2 linked regions of the Danio rerio genome follow. The protein of the gene in region 1 purifies or fractionates together with the protein of each later gene. This does not show direct contact. Links are inferred from orthologs where the notes say so. Each region holds a gene or a part of one and is shown in the gene's direction. Other genes may lie near its edges.

Region 1 (8,745 bases):
TGAAGCAAAAAGGATGCCTCACCTTGCTTTCACTGTACTTTAATTGTTAAATTGATTGCATCAGGTGCGCAAGCTAACGCTGCCAATTTATTGACATTTCATTAGCCCGTTTACATACACTTTCAGACTATTGGCTTTCTGAACGAAATTGCCATAAGTGGATTAAATCCACTATAGCATTGAAGTTCCCCATCCGAAGGGCAACTTTTATTCAATTCATCACAAACTGACATCTGTTTCTTATGTATCACTCAGACCTGGAACACCTCAGGGTTATGTGCTGAGTTCACTAATGTATACTCTATACCAGGGCTGCCCAATTCTGTCCTTTGAGATCTACCATCCTGCAGAGTTCAGCTGCAACCTTGATCAAACACACCTGTCTTTAATTATCAAGTATTCCTCCTTTAGATCCCACTTAGTTGGTTTAGCTGTTTTGGATCAGGGTTGGAGCTGAACTCTTAAAAAGGGTGGATCACCAGAAACAGAATTGAGCAACCCTGCTTTATACCTACACTTGTGTTCCAGCCCACCCCACAACAAAACAGTGGCTGGACTTATTTTAGGATTTCAGGAGTGGATGAGAAAGCAATTAGAGAAGAGGTGTAGCATTTAACAGATCGGTGCACCTTCATTTAATCTTCATTTACATAGCACCAAGGAGGTCATTATTGACTTTAGCAGGAATGAGAAAGTCCATGCCCCCTCTACATAAATGGAAACCACGTAGACAGAATAACACAATTTAAGTGCATCAGAATACACAATTCAGAGACACTTTCAAGGATTACCAACATCACATCATTACATCATCACAAAAAGTCATTACAGAATATCATATATTTAGCTCGAAATGTCACTGATTGCCCCCTAACTCCTGGTGCTCCTAATGTGACTGATTCACTGATAATGTTTTTGACGCTACACACTACAATGCAAAGGTTTGCAGAAATAAGTTTTAAATAAAAGAGCAACAATAATACTGTGCTAACTGACACTTATCATGACTGGTTTTCATCAAATCAACTCAGATCATTAATCACAGTATTATCATTGCTGTTTAAATTGTATTTAAATCTACTTTTTCAACTGAACCAAAGAACTTTGCTGAAAAATAACGTGGCCTAAAGTAAACCTTAATGGAATGGCTATTAAATTTGAGTGTGTAACTTTTTACCCATGTTTGAGGGTTTGTAGATGAAAGTAAGCTACAGGTATAGCTCTTTTAATTTTGTATATGAAAATGATTTGAGTGTATAGAATGTAACCTGTTTGTGCATGAGCATTAGTCTTGGGTGTTGATGCAAGTCTAATGCATCTCGTGTCTGCAGGGTCTTGGCCTGTTTGCAGCACGTGCCATTGAGAAGCAGACCATGGTGATTGAATACATGGGGGATATTCTACGCACTGAGGTGGCCATGAGGAGAGAGCTGCTGTACAAGGCTAAGGTAAAGCATGCTCAACCAATGAGAGAATGATGTGGAATGCTGTCTTAATATGTTCTTCTAAGTCTGTGTGGATTGTTTCCTACAGAACCGGCCAGCGTACATGTTCTGCATTGACAGTGAGCGAGTTATTGATGCAACCAACTCTGGAAGCCCTGCAAGGTTAGATATTATCTTGACCTGTCATTTGAGCATTGTAATATGTACATTACCCACATAGCAAAAATTTCCTGACCCAACTCCTGGCCACACAATCACTTTTCACCTCAATCCAAATACACTTTCCGACCACACTAACCTGGAGTTTAGGAGCCCTGAAAATGCTTTTTGAAAATGCTGAAGAGGCCATTTTTGTTTTAAAATGCTGCTGCTCCGTGTCAGTGTGGATGGGGGAAAACAGAGACATCTGGAAATGGAGGCATGGCTGCAGAAATTCGCTGCATCTAATTGGGGTTTTCTCAATATTTAAGTACACAAAGTTCAGTCTTGCATTCTTTCCTTGTAAGTTCTGACTTCACAAGTTTGTTATGGAAAACAAATTCCCGAAAACAAGTTCCCAAGAATACATTAGGTAATCTTTCAAAAGAGACCAGTCACTGTTTCAAAGGAAAAGACACATGGTACCACACCCTAATCAGTTAATTAGCTAAAAACACCTGCAAAGGCCCTAAGTGGTGACACCTTGCACAAGGAGGGCAAGACACAAAAGGTCATTACAAAAGAGGCTGGCTATTCACACAGCTCTGTGTCCAACCTTAATAGAGAGGCGAAGAGAAGACAAATATTTGGTTGAAAAAAAGTGTACAAGCAATAGGGATAACTGCACCCTGGAGAGAATTGTGAAACAAAACCCATTCAAAAATGTGGGGTAAAGAGTGGACTGAAGCTGGAGTCACTGATACAAGAACCACTACGCACAGACGTATGCAAGACATGGGTTTTAGCAGTCACATTCCTTGTGTCAGGCTACTCTTGAACAGATGGCATCAAAAGATTCCTAAACTAAAGACTGGACTGCTGCCGAGTGCTCCAAAATTATGCTCATTTATGAAAGTAAAATTTCCATTTCCTTTTAAAATCAGGGTCCCAGACTTTGGAGGAATAGAGGAAAGGCACACAATCCATGTTGCTTGAGGTTCAGACTAAAGTTTCCACAATCAGTGATGGTTTGGTGTGCCATATCACCTGCTGGTGTTACTCCACTGTGTTTGGTGAGGTCCATGGTTAATGCAGCTCTACACCAGGACGTTTAAGAGCACCTCATGCGTCCTGCTGCTGACCAACTTAATGAAGATGCAGATTTCATTTTCTAACAGGACTTGGCACCTGCACACAGTGCTAAAGCTACCAGTACCTGGGATTTGGGGATCATGGTATCCCTGTTCATAATTAGCCAAACTCACCTGACCTTAACCACATAGGAAATCTGTGGACTATTGTAAAGGGGAAGATGCTGTATGCCAGACCCAACAATGCAGAAGAGCTGAAGGCCACTATCAGAGCATCATGGGCTCTCATATAATCCAAGCAGTGCCACAGACTGATTAGCCGTATGTCACGGTGCATTGCTGCAGTAATTCAGGCAATGGTCATACTTTTCATGTTCATTACTTTTCAGTTGGCCAAGATTTAAAAAAAAAAAAAAACCTTTCTTTGTCTTGGTCCTAAGCAATATTCAAATTTTCTGAGACATTAAATTTGGGGTTTTTGTTAGTTGTCATCAAAATCATCAAAATTAAAATAAATAAACACTTGAATATTTTACTCTGTGTGAAATGAATGTATACATTATACAAGTTTCACTAAAAATAGTGAGAAGTAGAAAGAATCTTTTTAAATTACTTCTAGTTTGGGCGACTAATCTAATGTATTTGCACAAATATTTTTGTGTATTCTATAGAAAATAATCATTTAAAAAAGAGATTTGTGAGGAGTGTACTCATTTATGCTGAGTGAGCACTGAATAACCATATATCCATCATCCACAATGCTGTGCCAATAATTTTATATTTAATATATTTGGAATTAAATTCCTTCATTTGATTCAAAGCTTATTTTTTGTCATCATTACTCCAACTCTCAGCATCAAGTGATCCTTCTGAAATCATTCTAAAATGTAGAAATGTTTCTAATTATATTGAAATCAGTAGATAAAATCATGATATTTTTATTTTATTATTTTTCGCTGAATAGAAGGTTTATTTGTAAAAAAGAATACAGCTATGTGAAATATTTTGTAACATTGAAAATGTATTTTCTGTCATTTGTAAACAGTTTAATGCATCCTTAGTAAAGTAAAAAATTCATATTAAATAAAAAAATAAGAATAGTGTTGAATAGTGTAATAAGTTAAACTAGTATATACATTTTCTTGCACTGTTTCTGCTACAGGAGTCTTTTCTGTGCAGTTTGAAGTACAGTTATGCTCACTGAATAACTACAACCGCTTTAATAATGATTTAAGATTTATTTCATTTATTTTTTAGGTACATAAATCATTCATGCTCACCAAATTGTGTGGCTGAGGTTGTGACGTTTGAGCGGGGCTACAAGATCATCATCAGTGCTGCCTGCAGGATTGAGAGAGGAGAAGAGGTGAGATTTTATCTGTCATTTATTGTCATGCACACTAAATAAAATAACTTCATTTGCTAATGCCACAAACACAACCGATACTTTTTCTGTTTGTTTTCTTATATATTCATATATTGATATCGGATTGTATAGGACATTTAGTTGTACATTAGTTTTGCATTTAGTTTTTGTTTATTGTTACCTGACTTACAATCTCATGTTAGGTCAATAGGTGGTCTTTAGCAACTCAAACACATCAACCACATGAGCAGTTACACTCTGAAAGCAATATTAATAAATGTGTGGTTGACTACTTCTGAAAGGGGTCAACAGTTGAAAAGCTTCTAACTTTTTAGACTTTGTTTAAACATGTAACATCATCCACCTATGATCAAACTAACTGCAATGTATCATAGTACCTGGTATCAAAATAGCATTAAAGAGATGAAACGAGATTTGACAATGATCCCAAGCACACAGCAAATTTACCACAGAACAGCTGAAAATAAACCTCAAGCTGTTGCAGTAGTCCAGTCAAAGTCCAGACCTCATACTAATTGTAATGCTGTGGCAAGAGCTGTGCAAAAACTCATGACTTTAGGTAATTACTTCTAAAGTGGATCTACAGAATCATAGGCTGTCCTACTACTTTCTATCTTGGCTTTTTTTTTGTTAAATAAATTTGAATAACAAAACATAAGGCGTAATTTTAACAGTCTAGGAGTTAAGTCTAAAGGCTGATTTATACTTCTGCGTCAAGCGTATGCGTAGGCTACGACGTGGCCTATGCATGGACGCATAGCCCTCGTCGTGGCCATCATTGGTGCAGGTGCTGATGCGCACCTCTCAAAAAATGTAACTACACGTCGCAACGACATGTAGCACAAGCTCTGTGATTGGTCGGCTTGGTTAACGCTGGCGAGTGTGGGCAGGACCGAGAGCCGCGCGAGCCCGGTGGAGCTATTGTGTACAAGTGTGGATTCCCATAAAGTAGCTCTGGATGGAAAGTTTTGTTTTGTGTGTGCCTCATGTTAAAGTTGTTGCACATCCGCCGGTTTCTGCATCAAAATGATAGAGTTTGAACCACTTGTACATTAAGGAAGTGTTCAGAAAAAAACAAAACATCAGCGAAGAACCTCAACACAGAGGAACATTAACACCTTACTGCCAACTAGCATTTCGGAAGTGTTATCGCAGAGCAACAGAAATAGCGCGCAGAAGTATGACTGCACAGCTACGCGCATTGCATGCGTCGTGGGTCACGCCGATCACTTGACGCAGAAGTATAAACCAGGCTTAAAGTGCATGCCGCTTAAGCATTAAGGGTGTGTCAGAATCCACTATTTATGCTATTTTGAGGACGGAAAAATACGGTTTGTGATACGGCGCATGTTTTAACAGGGTTGTGGTTATTTTCTTAATAAGCTAAGAGTGTGTTTTGAGCATGAAGTGCATTAAACCAATCAGAGTCTCGTCTCCCATTCCCTTTTTCAGTTTGTCTCAAAATAGCAACACACCAACAATGTGGCTTAACACTCCTTCAATCATGATTCCATAAAGTGGTGCAAATGAATGAAAGATGTGACAATTAGGGTTGCGCTGGACTAAAAATAGCAACAAATCACGTCATACACGTCTTGTGCCTTATTGCGCCAGGTGTATGATAGGGTTCAAAATATAAGAGTACAAAGAAATGATAGGGAAAAATGTATTATTAACAACTCCTAAACAGATAAATAAAACAAATAAAACAAACAGTGTATGTGAAATGCTTGTTACGCACACATATCTCTGTTGAGGCTTGTTTGCATTAAGGATGATAAAGAGTAACTATATAAGCATTCACAATAATGTCCTATTGGTTTTGCAGTAGTTTGTTTGTTTGTTTGTTTTGTTTTGTTTGTTTGTTTGTATCTTCCTCAGGATGAACTCTCATTCAGATTTTTCATCAGCAGGAAAAAAAAATGTGGATAGTGATCCAGTGACTTTTTTTTCTTCTACATTCAGAAAGATCTTTTTGAAACTATTCCCATAATGTCCTTGCGAACTGGCCTTGATTTTCTTCTTTATTATGTGATGAAATATTGAAAAACAGCAAAGTATTCTGTCTGTAAACCTTATGATCTGAGATTTAACCCACTTTTGAATGGTTTTGTTGCAGCTCTGCTATGATTACAAGCTCACTCCTGTTAACGATCAGAGCAAGATCCCATGTCACTGTGGAGCAGCCAAATGTCGCAAGTGGATCAACTGAAAAACTCCAACTATGAGCTGGCAGTTCACCAGGGGAGACATTAGGAAACATTTCTAAATGTGCAAAACTAAGAGGAAAACACAACGCAAGAGTACAGCATTGTGTGAGAGCCATTCGTATCATTTTCTTGACTTGAAAGGAAAAGGTTCAGTTTTTTGCATGTGCCACGAGTCTGTGTGTGTGTATGTGTGTGTCAGATTGAATGTGTGTGTCACATGGGGCAGACTTCACCAGCAAAAGAGGATGAGAAATGAACGAAAGTATTGTGTTGGGTATCGCCTTATAGGTCGATGGTAAGGGTAACCCATTTGTACGGCGTGATCTGTAGAGACTGTATCGTAGAACTCAATGTAGAACATCACTGAATGGAGAATGTACGGAATTGACTTCCGCAAAGGGAAAACATGTTGCACTAAAAAAACAAAAAATCAAAAAGAAAAAAAGGAAAACAAAGTCACAAAAATAAATGAAAAAATACTTGATTCCATGAGTCAGTTTTATCCTAGATATCTCTCATTGTTTAGTGTAAGAAAATAAAGATGTTATGTATTTATTACTGTGCGAGTGAATGAATGGGCCTATTTTAATAGCAGTTTGATGCTGATAAAAAGGATGCCTGACGCAGTTTGAGATTCTGTTACAGACTCTGTAAATACAGTGTAAATATAGAGAAATATCTGAATGATTGACCAAATACTACCTTCATTCACTACCTTATTCATCTTGATGTTCAGATATTTTAGACGTGCTTGTTTTGTTTTGCTTTGCTTTTGCTCTTCTTTCTTTTCCCCATTGGAAATAATTTAACTGGCACATCATGATACCACGTGTAATTATTGCAAAGGTGACTTCACAAGAAAAGTATTTTCTCTGTTTAGGATGTGGTATTTGTAGTGGTTTTGTGGTTTTTACGTTAGTGCTGACCATATTGTTGGTTTTCGTTTTAATTTCATTCCATTTTATGCTCTGCTGCTGATAGCAGCTGTTCAAAGCAGAGCAGAGTTCAAAGCAAGTGACTTTCTAGTAAATCAGGTGGGATTGTAGATGTAGAGATAACTGTGAAATGAACTTTAAACCTCACACACCGATTATGAAATCACAAGCAACATGCACAAGTAGCTCTTTTTTTAAAATATATATATATAAATACAGACCGTCGTATGGATTTTATAAATGAACGAGAATAAGAAGTCATTTTTGGATGGTGTTATGAGCAGGAATCGCTGAACGAAGGGCCAGGTTAACTCTCTGAAAAATCTCAAATATGTACATATGAAAAATAGATGCTTGTATTAGTTTTATTGATTGAAGTGAAGCGCTATTCGTTTTGTAGCCAAAAATGTTTTTAACATTTCACATGCCTTGTTATTTCAATTTGGAAGTTTCTGTGTGCACAATTTCACGTTGAAAATGGACAGTTTAGACTTTGTATTGTAATGGGCATGAATTTTTTCAAAAAAAAAAAAAAAAAAAAAGAGTCAGTTGTATATATTTTTTTTCTTCAAATGAACAGCTGTGACAAAATTGTTTTATGGATATTTTCCTTGTCTTGTAACATACATCATTTTCCTAGTGTTGTTCTTTTGTTTAATTTTTTTTCTCTCTGTATAGTAGTCTAAATTGTTTTGGAAACTGAAACTTTTTTGAGTACACAGAATGATATAGGGTTTGGTATTTGAGGAACTGAATTTACAAAAAAATAAAAAATAAAATATTTTACATGATTGATGCACAACTTCTTTTTTCTTCTGCCAATTTGTTGAAGCCTCTTTTTTTATTAAAAAAATACATTTGAAGAATTTAAGTTATAATTGCTTAATAATAATAATAATAATAATAATAATATTTGATGTTTAAAAAATATTCTAAAAATGAAATGAAATTTCATGATACAACAATTAGTTTTATAATATTCTCTGAATGCATTTTTACATTTAACGCACAACAGTGAGTTTTCTTATATATATATATACATGGCTGGGTCAGTTAACATTTCCAGCCGAGGCTTGAACCAGCAACCTTCTTGCTGTGAGGCTACAGCACTACCTACTGCACCACCGTGTGTCACCCTATAACAATAACAATAATAATTATTAATATTAGAGTGTTTTACTGAAGGTTCATGAGACTCTGAAGACTGGAGTAATGAAGCTGAAAATGAATCTTTAAAATCACTGGAATAAGTTATTAAATTAAGTTATAAACTACTTTTAACCATTAATTTTATAGTGTAATAGCATTTCACAATTTTACTCTATTTTTTATTAAATAAATGCAGCCTTGATGAACATGAGAAGCTTATTTTAAAAATTAACATCCTACTAACCCCAAACTTTTGACTGGTAGTGTGTGTATATGTATATACACATACTGTATCTATGAAAGCAATTAGGTTACCTGCTAAATAGAATAATGACAGAAATTCTAGTAGTGGGTTATTCAGGATTTGGTGGGTTTCTTAGGTGTTTTACT
Region 2 (9,508 bases), about 19 Mb from region 1:
TGCGTTGGATTCAGCGGTCACGTAATTGTGAAAAACTAGGGGGTCATATGTGTGTAAATGTAAAAAATGCATTTTAAAAATGTATGCACCGATTTAAGCTGGCTATATTTAAAAAAAATAAGATTAGCATTGAAAAGCAATTACCAACAAAAAACATTGCCCGATGAGAACTCGTAATTGGATAAACTGAGCCAATCAATCTCTTCACATCTCGCATTTAAAAAAAATGATTCAGAAATGCCTGTTCCATAGTCTGTCATTAAATGACTTGGAACAGAACTGTCTCACATGATCCAATAAAAGTAACAGACGAACACATAACCGCATTCACCATTTCATATGCATACTCTGAAGAGCAGGTACGTTATTTTATATGCAAAAAGACCCTTAGTGGCTTCTCCTATTGTAGTAACTCTCATTTCTTCTTCATGATATTTGTCCTCTTCAGCTTATTGGATGGAAACAATGGTTTATTTGTTTTATGTGATATGCCAATTTTGCACACAAATTAAATGTGCCACTTTGTATGAAAATATAGCTACTGTCATGCAGCAGGATTGATTTACAAGCCTTGTTTTCATTACAGCTGGCAGAGGATCTTAACGCACTTTGGGCCTTTATTACATTCTATGGAGGTGACTGTCAGCTCCATTTCAACAAAAAGTGTACGCATCTGGTTGTGCCTGAACCAAAGGGGGTAAGCATGTTTTTTTTTGTGCCTATAATATTAAATGCATAGTACGCATATGGCACTGTGTATCAACACAGTGTTTAACTTCATCCTCTTTCTGAAGAAAAAAGGGGAAGGTGTGAGATTTTGCAGATCGCTTAAAGTTTACAAGTAATAGAGTGCGTTTAACAGCTGCTATTTGCAAGACTCTGTCTAGGTTTACGTCTGTGGGTTGTTTGCTATTGGATCAGTTGTGGAGTGGGACTGGCAGGCTGGTTTTGTTTTATTGGCTCTGAATGGTGCATTTTAAAAAGAATCAGTTTTATAGCCACCGTTCTTACCGTCTAGCTTTTTAAAGCTTGCCATTTATTGGCAACTATTGGTACCCAAACAAATGTCATTGGTTATATTTGGTGAGAATGCTAACCTTTTTAAATTGAACTCTGAGTTAAAAACATTCTGTATAATTTAACAATTTACTGTGCTGATTCATGCTCTGTTTTGACTTTGATGCTCTGTCTTTGACTTTGAGGCCATGGATAATTCAGAATGCATGTAAAGCTATGTAAAAATTGTAGTTGTAGTTCATTGTGTTGTTGTATATTAACTTATTTGCATGTAAATAATTGGTCTAGCTTGTTGGCTGGCTGGCTGACCATATTTTTAATTTATCTATTTGTCTAAACTTATCAGCAAATCAAACCTAAGTTTGTGTTCTCTCTGGCTCTCTGGTTTGTGTTCTCTGGGAACTCTTGTCCGCTCACAGTCTGCTCTCCTGCTTATTTATGTGGGAGTGACCTGCAGCTGGTTTGGGCTCTGCTGATTGAGGAAATTAAGCTCCGCTCACTTTTAAGGGTGTCACGATCCTCCAAATCCTCGATTCGATTACATTTTCGATTCTAAAGTGACGGTTCGATTCGATTTTCAGTTATGAATAATTAATAACAAATTAATTATTTGTAGCCTACAGTTTAAACTACCTGACCTGCATGGTCTTTGTTTTACCCATAAACAAATCATACAGTAAATGAATAAAGGCAAGTTACACACATAATTACCACCTGTCAATCTCTTTTTTTCTACGGGACTCATGAATAGGCATTGATATGTGTCGTTATAATGGCTGCGGTAAAAAAGGTGCACATGCAACAGGAACCAGCCAACAGTATCTGAGGTGTGCGCTAAAATGACTAAGTACAAGTGAGTGAAAGATTGAAGCAGTCTACTGACCCGCTAACTGCCTGTACCCGCTGTCTTGAGCGCATGGCTGTGTGTGCGTCTGTGTCTGTGTTTGGTCACGTGATGTGCGTTTTCAACGGTAGTGAGGAAAGAGGGCTGCTCAGAAATGCTACACGCCACTGTGGATGTCAAATCGTTGTCGTTCTAAAATGCCATTTAAAAACAAAGACATATTAGTGTAAACACTGCCAGAGTGTGTACTTTTCATGAGCGGATTTGCAACGGGGGCGGGGCAGAGGATCGCGATGCCGGTGTTGTCTATTGGACGAACCCTAATACGTGCGTTGCAGAGCTTGCAAAACTTTTTTTTTTTTTTTTTTGTCGACAACACGAACGTTATCAACATAACTCACTGGAAACCAAAATGCTTCCACACCGGCGACTTCATTGAAAGAGGAGAGGGTTTAAGCTCTGTCGACAGGTCTCCTGCGTCTGCCGTTTAACAAGCTCTTTAACAAGCGTGTTTTTTTCCCGCTTGGCAAGCCAAGCTGACTTGACATGGGGGCGTGGCAGCATCGACGATTCTATTTTATGATTCGATAATCGAAATTGAGCATAAATTTCGATCGATTTCGATTTAAAATCGAGATCGTGACACCCTTACTCACTTTATTGGTTAATAAGCTTACCTCACAAAAATGATGGTCATGCATTTGCTTTTGGAGACAGGTCTGTTTAAATATTATTATATATTCAACACAATTACACAATTTCTAATCAATTAAGGCTTTGGTGGGACAAAAAAAGCTGTTTTCCGGCCACTAGGTTGCTGTTGAAAGTGGTGTTCGTAAGGCTAGCAGGGGGTGCTTGACCTGTGGTCTGTGAGTCCTAATGCCCCAGTAAAAGTAAAGGGGACACTATACTGTCAGTGAGCGCCGTCTTTCGGTTGAGACATAAAACCGAGGTCCTGAGTCTCTGTGGTCATTAAAAATCCCATAGCACTTCTCGTAAAGAGTAGGGTTGTAACCTCGGTGTCCTCCATCGGCCCTCACTGATCATAGCCTCCCAATCCTCCCCATCATGCTCGTGCAGAGACTGTCCAAAGGGCATGTGCAGGATAAAATTTTTGAAGAGCAGGTGGGGGTTGTTGTTGTCGTCGTCGTCGTTGTCGTCGTCGTCGTCGCCGCCACCGCCGGGTGCATACTGAAGAGTGGTTTTGTCACGCGCGTACTGTTAAGCGCGGGGTGGTAGGGAACACGCGTACTCAGGAGCGGTGTTGTCGCGCGCGGGAATCAGTGCCCAGAAAATAAACTTTTTTTTAAATTCAACAAGAAATAGGAAAAAAATCACTTTTTTTTTAAGTCAAGACACGATGATATTGTGTATAGAAGATGCCGCATTGGACGCACAAGACTCACGCATGAACATTTACTCAAAGGAGAAGAACCCCCATAATGCCTTTATTGCAACAAAAAACAAACTGTTAAACATATTCTTGTGGAATGCCCCATTTTTAATGTTCTTAGACAACAATTTTTAACTGGAGAGACTCTAAGTGAAATTTTTAAAAATGTTAATCCTTCTAAAATTGTAGAATTTTTATCAAAAGGAAACCGTAAAAAACTGTTTTAGATTTTTATCATATATATTATCATTTTTATTATTATTTATGTATTTTACCTTGTGTATTATTTATTTCTGTTAATGACTTAATTTTTTTTAGGACTTTTTTTAAGAATATAGAAAAGTGGTATTCATAAAATGTGGTAACCTTGATCTGTTTTTTTTTTGCCATGACATAGCCATAGAAGCTGAAATGGCAATAAAATTAAAACTCTCTCTCTCTCTCTCTCTCTCTCTCTCTCTGAAGGGCGGTGGGGGGGCACTTTTGATCATTTTAGAAGGGCACTTTCTATCCAAGACTAAAAAGGACATGTGCACTGCACAGGTTGAGCCCTATGTGTGCATGTGCCTGCTCCCCATGCACTGAATTGTCTCTATTACTATCTCTCCACTCCATGTATAGCCGGTGTGTGGTGAGCGCACTGGCGTCATTGTCCTGTGGCTGTCGTCGCATCATCCAAGTGGATGCTGCACACTGGTGGTGGTGTGGAGAGAGAGACACCCCCTCATGATTGTTAACCGTAACACTAACCCTAAATCCCTTATGGTGGGCATATCCCTTATTTTTACATCCTAATGTTGACGGGTATGATGGCCTTACAAGATAAAATGCGCTATATAAATACACTTTGCTTAAGTACATCCAAAAATGTAGGAAAAACCCTGGAGTAATATTAACTTATGTTATGTTGCATGCATTTATAAAACTTTTTTTGTTATTACCAAGTATTTAAATGGCACATAAGTAAATAAGTACATATAGCGTTTGGAACAAAAAACAAATATTATAATATTCATATTTTAATCTTATTTTGTTGAAAAACTGCAGGATTTGATCAAAGCAGCTTTTTGGTTAACAAAGCCTTTTAAATTACATGCTTGGGAAGATGGTTGACGTATGTTATATTCCCAAATGCACCTATTCTAAGCAACACAATTTTTTGGCGCATGCAGAAATTAAGTTTCTGTGGAGGAGCATGTATTGTGAAATATATTTATTTAATTAAATTACAGCTTGTGATTTGATAATCGCACCGAGACAGTGTGCAATTTCTGTTTCATTTCGATCAGTCATGCAGCTCTACTGTAATTTGTTTTTCATTTGTTTGTTTTTTTCTGTATTTTCCAGGCCAAGTACGAGTGTGCTTTGCGGCATAATAACATAAAGATAGTAACTCCAGAATGGATTTTGGACTCTGTAAAAGAAAAGAACAGGAAAGATGAGATGCTATATCACCCACGACTCACATTATATGATGCACCGGAAGAGGAGGGCAGTGAGTATGAAAACGAGAGGAGCTCACGATCTGAAGGTAGCTATAGTGACAGACGCTCGCCTCACAGCCGACGCTCCAGCCCTACATCATCCCGAGACGCATCCCCAGCAGGCAGGCGCTCACCCTCAACCAAACATGAACGCAAATCAGAGTTGATGTTCGATGACTCTGATGACTCATCCCCAGAGAAGGAGGATCGCAATCTCAATTGGACCCCAGCTGAGGTGCTTCCGCCTGGTCCGGCTAAACGTCGACTACAGCCTGGCAAAGAAACCGGTTTGATCAATCTGTGTGCCAATGTCCCACCTGTACCAGGAAGCTTTGGGCCACCTGATGCACGAATGGTCGGTGCAGGTGCAGGTGGAGGTGTGCCTATGGGGGTGGAAAGATTAGAGGTCATGAGTGAATGGAATTCAGCCGCCAGGACGCTAAGAAACATCACTAACAACACTGATACCCAACAGCCCTCTCGACCCTCCAATGTGGCACATGTAAGGATTAGAATTTTCAATGTAACTTTTATATCTAAAGGAAGAATTTCTCCTATATTTATAAGGCCTAATTAGGGCTGGGTGATTTAAATTAATTGAACTATTAATTAATTTTTTGACCTCATAGTTTACTGACAGATTTTGTACAGTAAATAGGCTCACATATTACAAGTGAGAGATTTTTGATCTTTACTATCTATGATTATTTACTTTAATGTTGAACAACTGGAATTAAAACACACATTGCCTTAAACAGTCACTTTCTTGAAAAACAAAGTTGAAAAAAACTTTTGGAAACAAATTTAATCTTTAGGTTTTTCATATTAAAAGTAGAGAATAAGTAGTTTCTCTTTTAAATAAAGTACCTCTTGTATATCCTGTAAATAATATTTTAAACCATGCATTTTTTGAGTCTTCAGTAAACAAATATTTTAATATAAATAATAATCTTAATGTAATGGACAATATGCAGTCTCAAGGCTTTTCTGGCGCAGCTTACAATCATCATCAAAGTAGTGCAAAAGTAGTGCAACATCCGTGCATTCAACGCAGAAGTATAAATCAGCCTTAAGCGAGTGAGCTTACATGACTCCACATGCAGCACAGAAAATAATTGAAAAAATTGACATGGAAAAATTTGATCGATTACAGATTCTGAATGACTATTTCAGTTATTTTCGATTAATCACCCAGCCCTAGACCTAATGCTTTGACCATATTTTGCACAGTGTATCAATCTAGATATGTCCTGTGGACGCGAGAAGGTGTGCAGCTTCAACGGAATACTCTAAATTATTATTAAAGTATTTTTGTTCTGTTGAACACAAAAGAAGATATGTCAAAGGATGTTGGAAACCTGAAACCCTAGACTTTCATAGTATTTGTTTTTTCTACAATGTATATAAATGATTGCAGGTTTCCAACATTAATCAAAATATCTTATTTTTTGTTTAACTGAACAAAAATATATATAATTAGTTTAAAAAATCGAGGTTGAGTAAATGGTGACAATTTGCATTCATTCAGGCTGCAATTTGTCAATTCTGTCTAAAAGCACACAGTGAAACTTCATGCGTATAAAAAAAAAACTAATAAAGGATCAAAATTAAATATCTTTGTAGTATTTTTATAATTTAATTTGTACAAAAGGCAGAAGTGTCTTTATGTATTTTTAAAGTTTAATGAAACATATGCATTTTTCTACAGATCATCCAGAGTTTTTCCGCATCCTCTAAAGGTGTAGTGGATCATATGGGAAATCAGGGCCAGTCTGGTATTCCCAACCAGCTTCTGTTAAAAGCCCAACAGCAGCTTCCTCCTGAAGCACAGCAGCAGTTACTGCAACAACAGCAGCAGCAACAGTCACATCAGCTACAACAGCAACAGCAGCAGCATCAGATGGCACAACAACATCCCATGATGCTGCCACAGGTCATGCAGATGCACCACCATCAACAACAACAACAGCATCAGCCGCCGCCACAGCAACAACAGCAGCAGCAAAACCAACAAGGCTTTCCTCAAATGCCTCCACAATCGCATCAGTTCTTACAGCAACAGATGCATCAGCAGATGTATTCCCAACATCAACAGCAGCAGCAGCAGCAGCAACAACAGCAGCAGCAACAACATGCATTCCCACAACAAATGCGACCCCAACAGCTTCCGAGGCTGCCCTTGCAGCATCAGCAGCAACATGTGCTGCAACAACAGTTACAGTTACAGCAGCAGCACAGACTTCAGTTGCAGTTGCAACAACAACAACAACAGCAGCAGCAACAACAACAACAGCAGCAGCAGCAGCAGCAGCAACAACAACAACAAAAACAACAACAGCAGCAGCAGCAAAACCAGCAGCAGATGCACCAACAGCATTTGCAGCAGCAACAGCATTTCCTACAACAACAACTCCAACAGCAGCACATGCAACAGCTGCAACAACAGCAGCAAATGCAGCAGCAACAGCAACAACATCTGCAGAACCAGCAGCCTCTGCAACATCAGAACCAGCAGGTTAATCCACATCAGACACAGACTATGCTTCAACCTCCAATCACATCTGCACAGCTCTTTGGACACGAGCCTGGCCATGACAGTAAGTGCAATTACTTTACGATATCACCCAGCTGCACATTGTTTTGTGAGCACAATACATATAGTCTGTCTTTGTGAGAAAGTAAAAACGGAAACAGTGACTTCTCCTGAATAGAGTTGTATTAATTTATAATATTCTACGGTGACATTTATCATTACCTTTTCAGTACCTGAAGAGGGATTCCTGGTTGGCTGTATTTTTGCCATTGCTGACTATCCAGAACAAATGGCTGATAAACAGTTACTGGCCACATGGAAAAGGGTAAGCGACTCCGCCACACTCCAACAAATACTAAATTATTCCTTTAGAAAATTGATTTATTTTAATCCATATTTTAAGCTAGCATGTTATGTTTTAGATTAAATTCAACATCAGGAAAGACAGTATTTTTTTGTAGTTTTTTTTATTATTGGCAATTCTCAATCAGAGTTATTGCAAGTGAGAGAAATAAAAACCATAATACAATAATTTTACAATATTAAAGAAAAAATTGACATGGTAATTCAAGGAATTCCTTACTCTCTTATCTAGGGTTGGGCAATGTCAACTAATTTGGCATCATACGATGTCTAATGTGAAACATAGCGATGGACGACGGATGGCATCATCGTCGTAGGCGGCGGTGAAGTTTTTTTTTTATGCATAATTAATAAATTTATAACAAATTAGTTCTTTGTAGCCCACCGTTTTAACTACCTGACCCTTATGGTCTTTGTTTTAACCATAACCAAACCATAAATAAATAAACACAAGTTATACACAAATTACCACCTGTCAATCACTTGTTCTGCAGGACTCTTGCATAAATAGTTCTGCGGAAAATTACTAAGTACAAGCATAAAAGCGAAAGACTGAAGCGGTGTACTGATGCTGTGACGCGTTACCAGATAGATTCAAAAGAGTCGTTAGATAGAGACTAGATTAATTCAATATCACATTTAAAACTACAGTAAGCCTCGATCCAGTGGTACATCCTTGATAAACTGTCTGACGTGTACTGCTCTCTGGGGTTTTGTGCTTGAAGCACCCGCTGACTGCTGGAGCTCAGACCCTCGCATACTCTGCAGCATGACAGTGTGTGTGGGGTCACGTGATGTGCGTTTTCAGCAGAATAGTGTGAAAGGAGGGTTTTTTTAGAAATTCTAGGTGAAACGCTAATGTGGATGTGGATCGTTTACATTCTAAAATGCCATTTTAAAACTAAGACATATTAGTGTAAACGGGGCTGTGCGTATTTTTTAGCAAGTGGGTTGCTGCTTTGACGGGGGTAGGGCGGAGGATCGTGATGCCGGCTAAACATTGTGATGTCTATTTGCCATCGGCGATTGACCATGCATCGTCTATTGACCCAACCCTACTCTGAAGCATATTCAGAGGAAAATATAGAAAGTAAATGACAACAACAAAAAACAAACAAAACAGTAACAAACAAAAGATTAATAAAAAAAAAAAAATAAACCATTACTGTTAAACACCAGATATCACACAATTTATTTTTCGAACACGCTCTTTGATAAGTTTTTATCATTCAAAAGCAAGAAAAAAGGCAGATACTGACAGGGTTAGATATGTAGGGCAGGTCACAAAAAAGCTATTTTTTAAAATACCAAACTGTATAGAAATCCGTTTTGCCGTTAATTGTATATCTAATTTTTCTATTTGAATAAACTGCCACAGGTCATACATCCAACAAATGTAGCTTGGTGGATAATGTTTTTTCCAGTTAAGTAATACAATTCTATTAGCAAATATTAAGCAAAAGGCTAATACACTTGACTGCAAAGATGACATTTGTAGGATGAAGTCCAAACAGTGCCACTGACGGACATGGTTCAATTTTTAGAAGAAAATATCAGAGATTGGTTTAAAAATTGATTTCCGAAAATTTTTTTATCTAAGAATAAAGCCATGATAAAGGGTGGCTGGAGCTTGTCAGCATCTGTCACAAATAGGATCAATTTCTGGGTTTATTTTAGAAGATAGTATTTTTTAAAAAGTTGTTCAATGTAAGCAATGTGCAACAAACTTGAGGAATTATGTTGAATGAATTATGGAAATTTTCAAGATTCATGGAAATAAATTATTTCATTAATAGTTCATTATAATTATAAATTGTAATTAATTTTTTTTATATATACATTCCTTCAAGCATAATGCAAATAAAACATTATTT

Evidence for each region.
Region 2: the proteins of kmt2cb (region 1) and paxip1 purify together in Homo sapiens (affinity purification with mass spectrometry; 4 studies listed by BioGRID and IntAct, with this or other methods). This does not show direct contact. The link is inferred for Danio rerio from reciprocal best matches to the Homo sapiens genes KMT2C and PAXIP1.

Annotation. Positions count from the first base shown.
Region 1 is NC_133177.1:13,460,989-13,469,733, forward strand, and holds the end of kmt2cb (histone-lysine N-methyltransferase 2C), read left to right. Parts: intron 1-1,331; coding exon 1,332-1,448; intron 1,449-1,533; coding exon 1,534-1,607; intron 1,608-3,931; coding exon 3,932-4,040; intron 4,041-6,180; coding exon 6,181-6,273; 3' UTR 6,274-7,997; downstream 7,998-8,745. UniProt on the Homo sapiens protein: Histone methyltransferase that catalyzes methyl group transfer from S-adenosyl-L-methionine to the epsilon-amino group of 'Lys-4' of histone H3 (H3K4).
Region 2 is NC_133177.1:32,870,112-32,879,619, reverse strand, and holds part of paxip1 (PAX-interacting protein 1), read left to right. Parts: intron 1-586; coding exon 587-697; intron 698-4,601; coding exon 4,602-5,240; intron 5,241-6,446; coding exon 6,447-7,335; intron 7,336-7,501; coding exon 7,502-7,596; intron 7,597-9,508.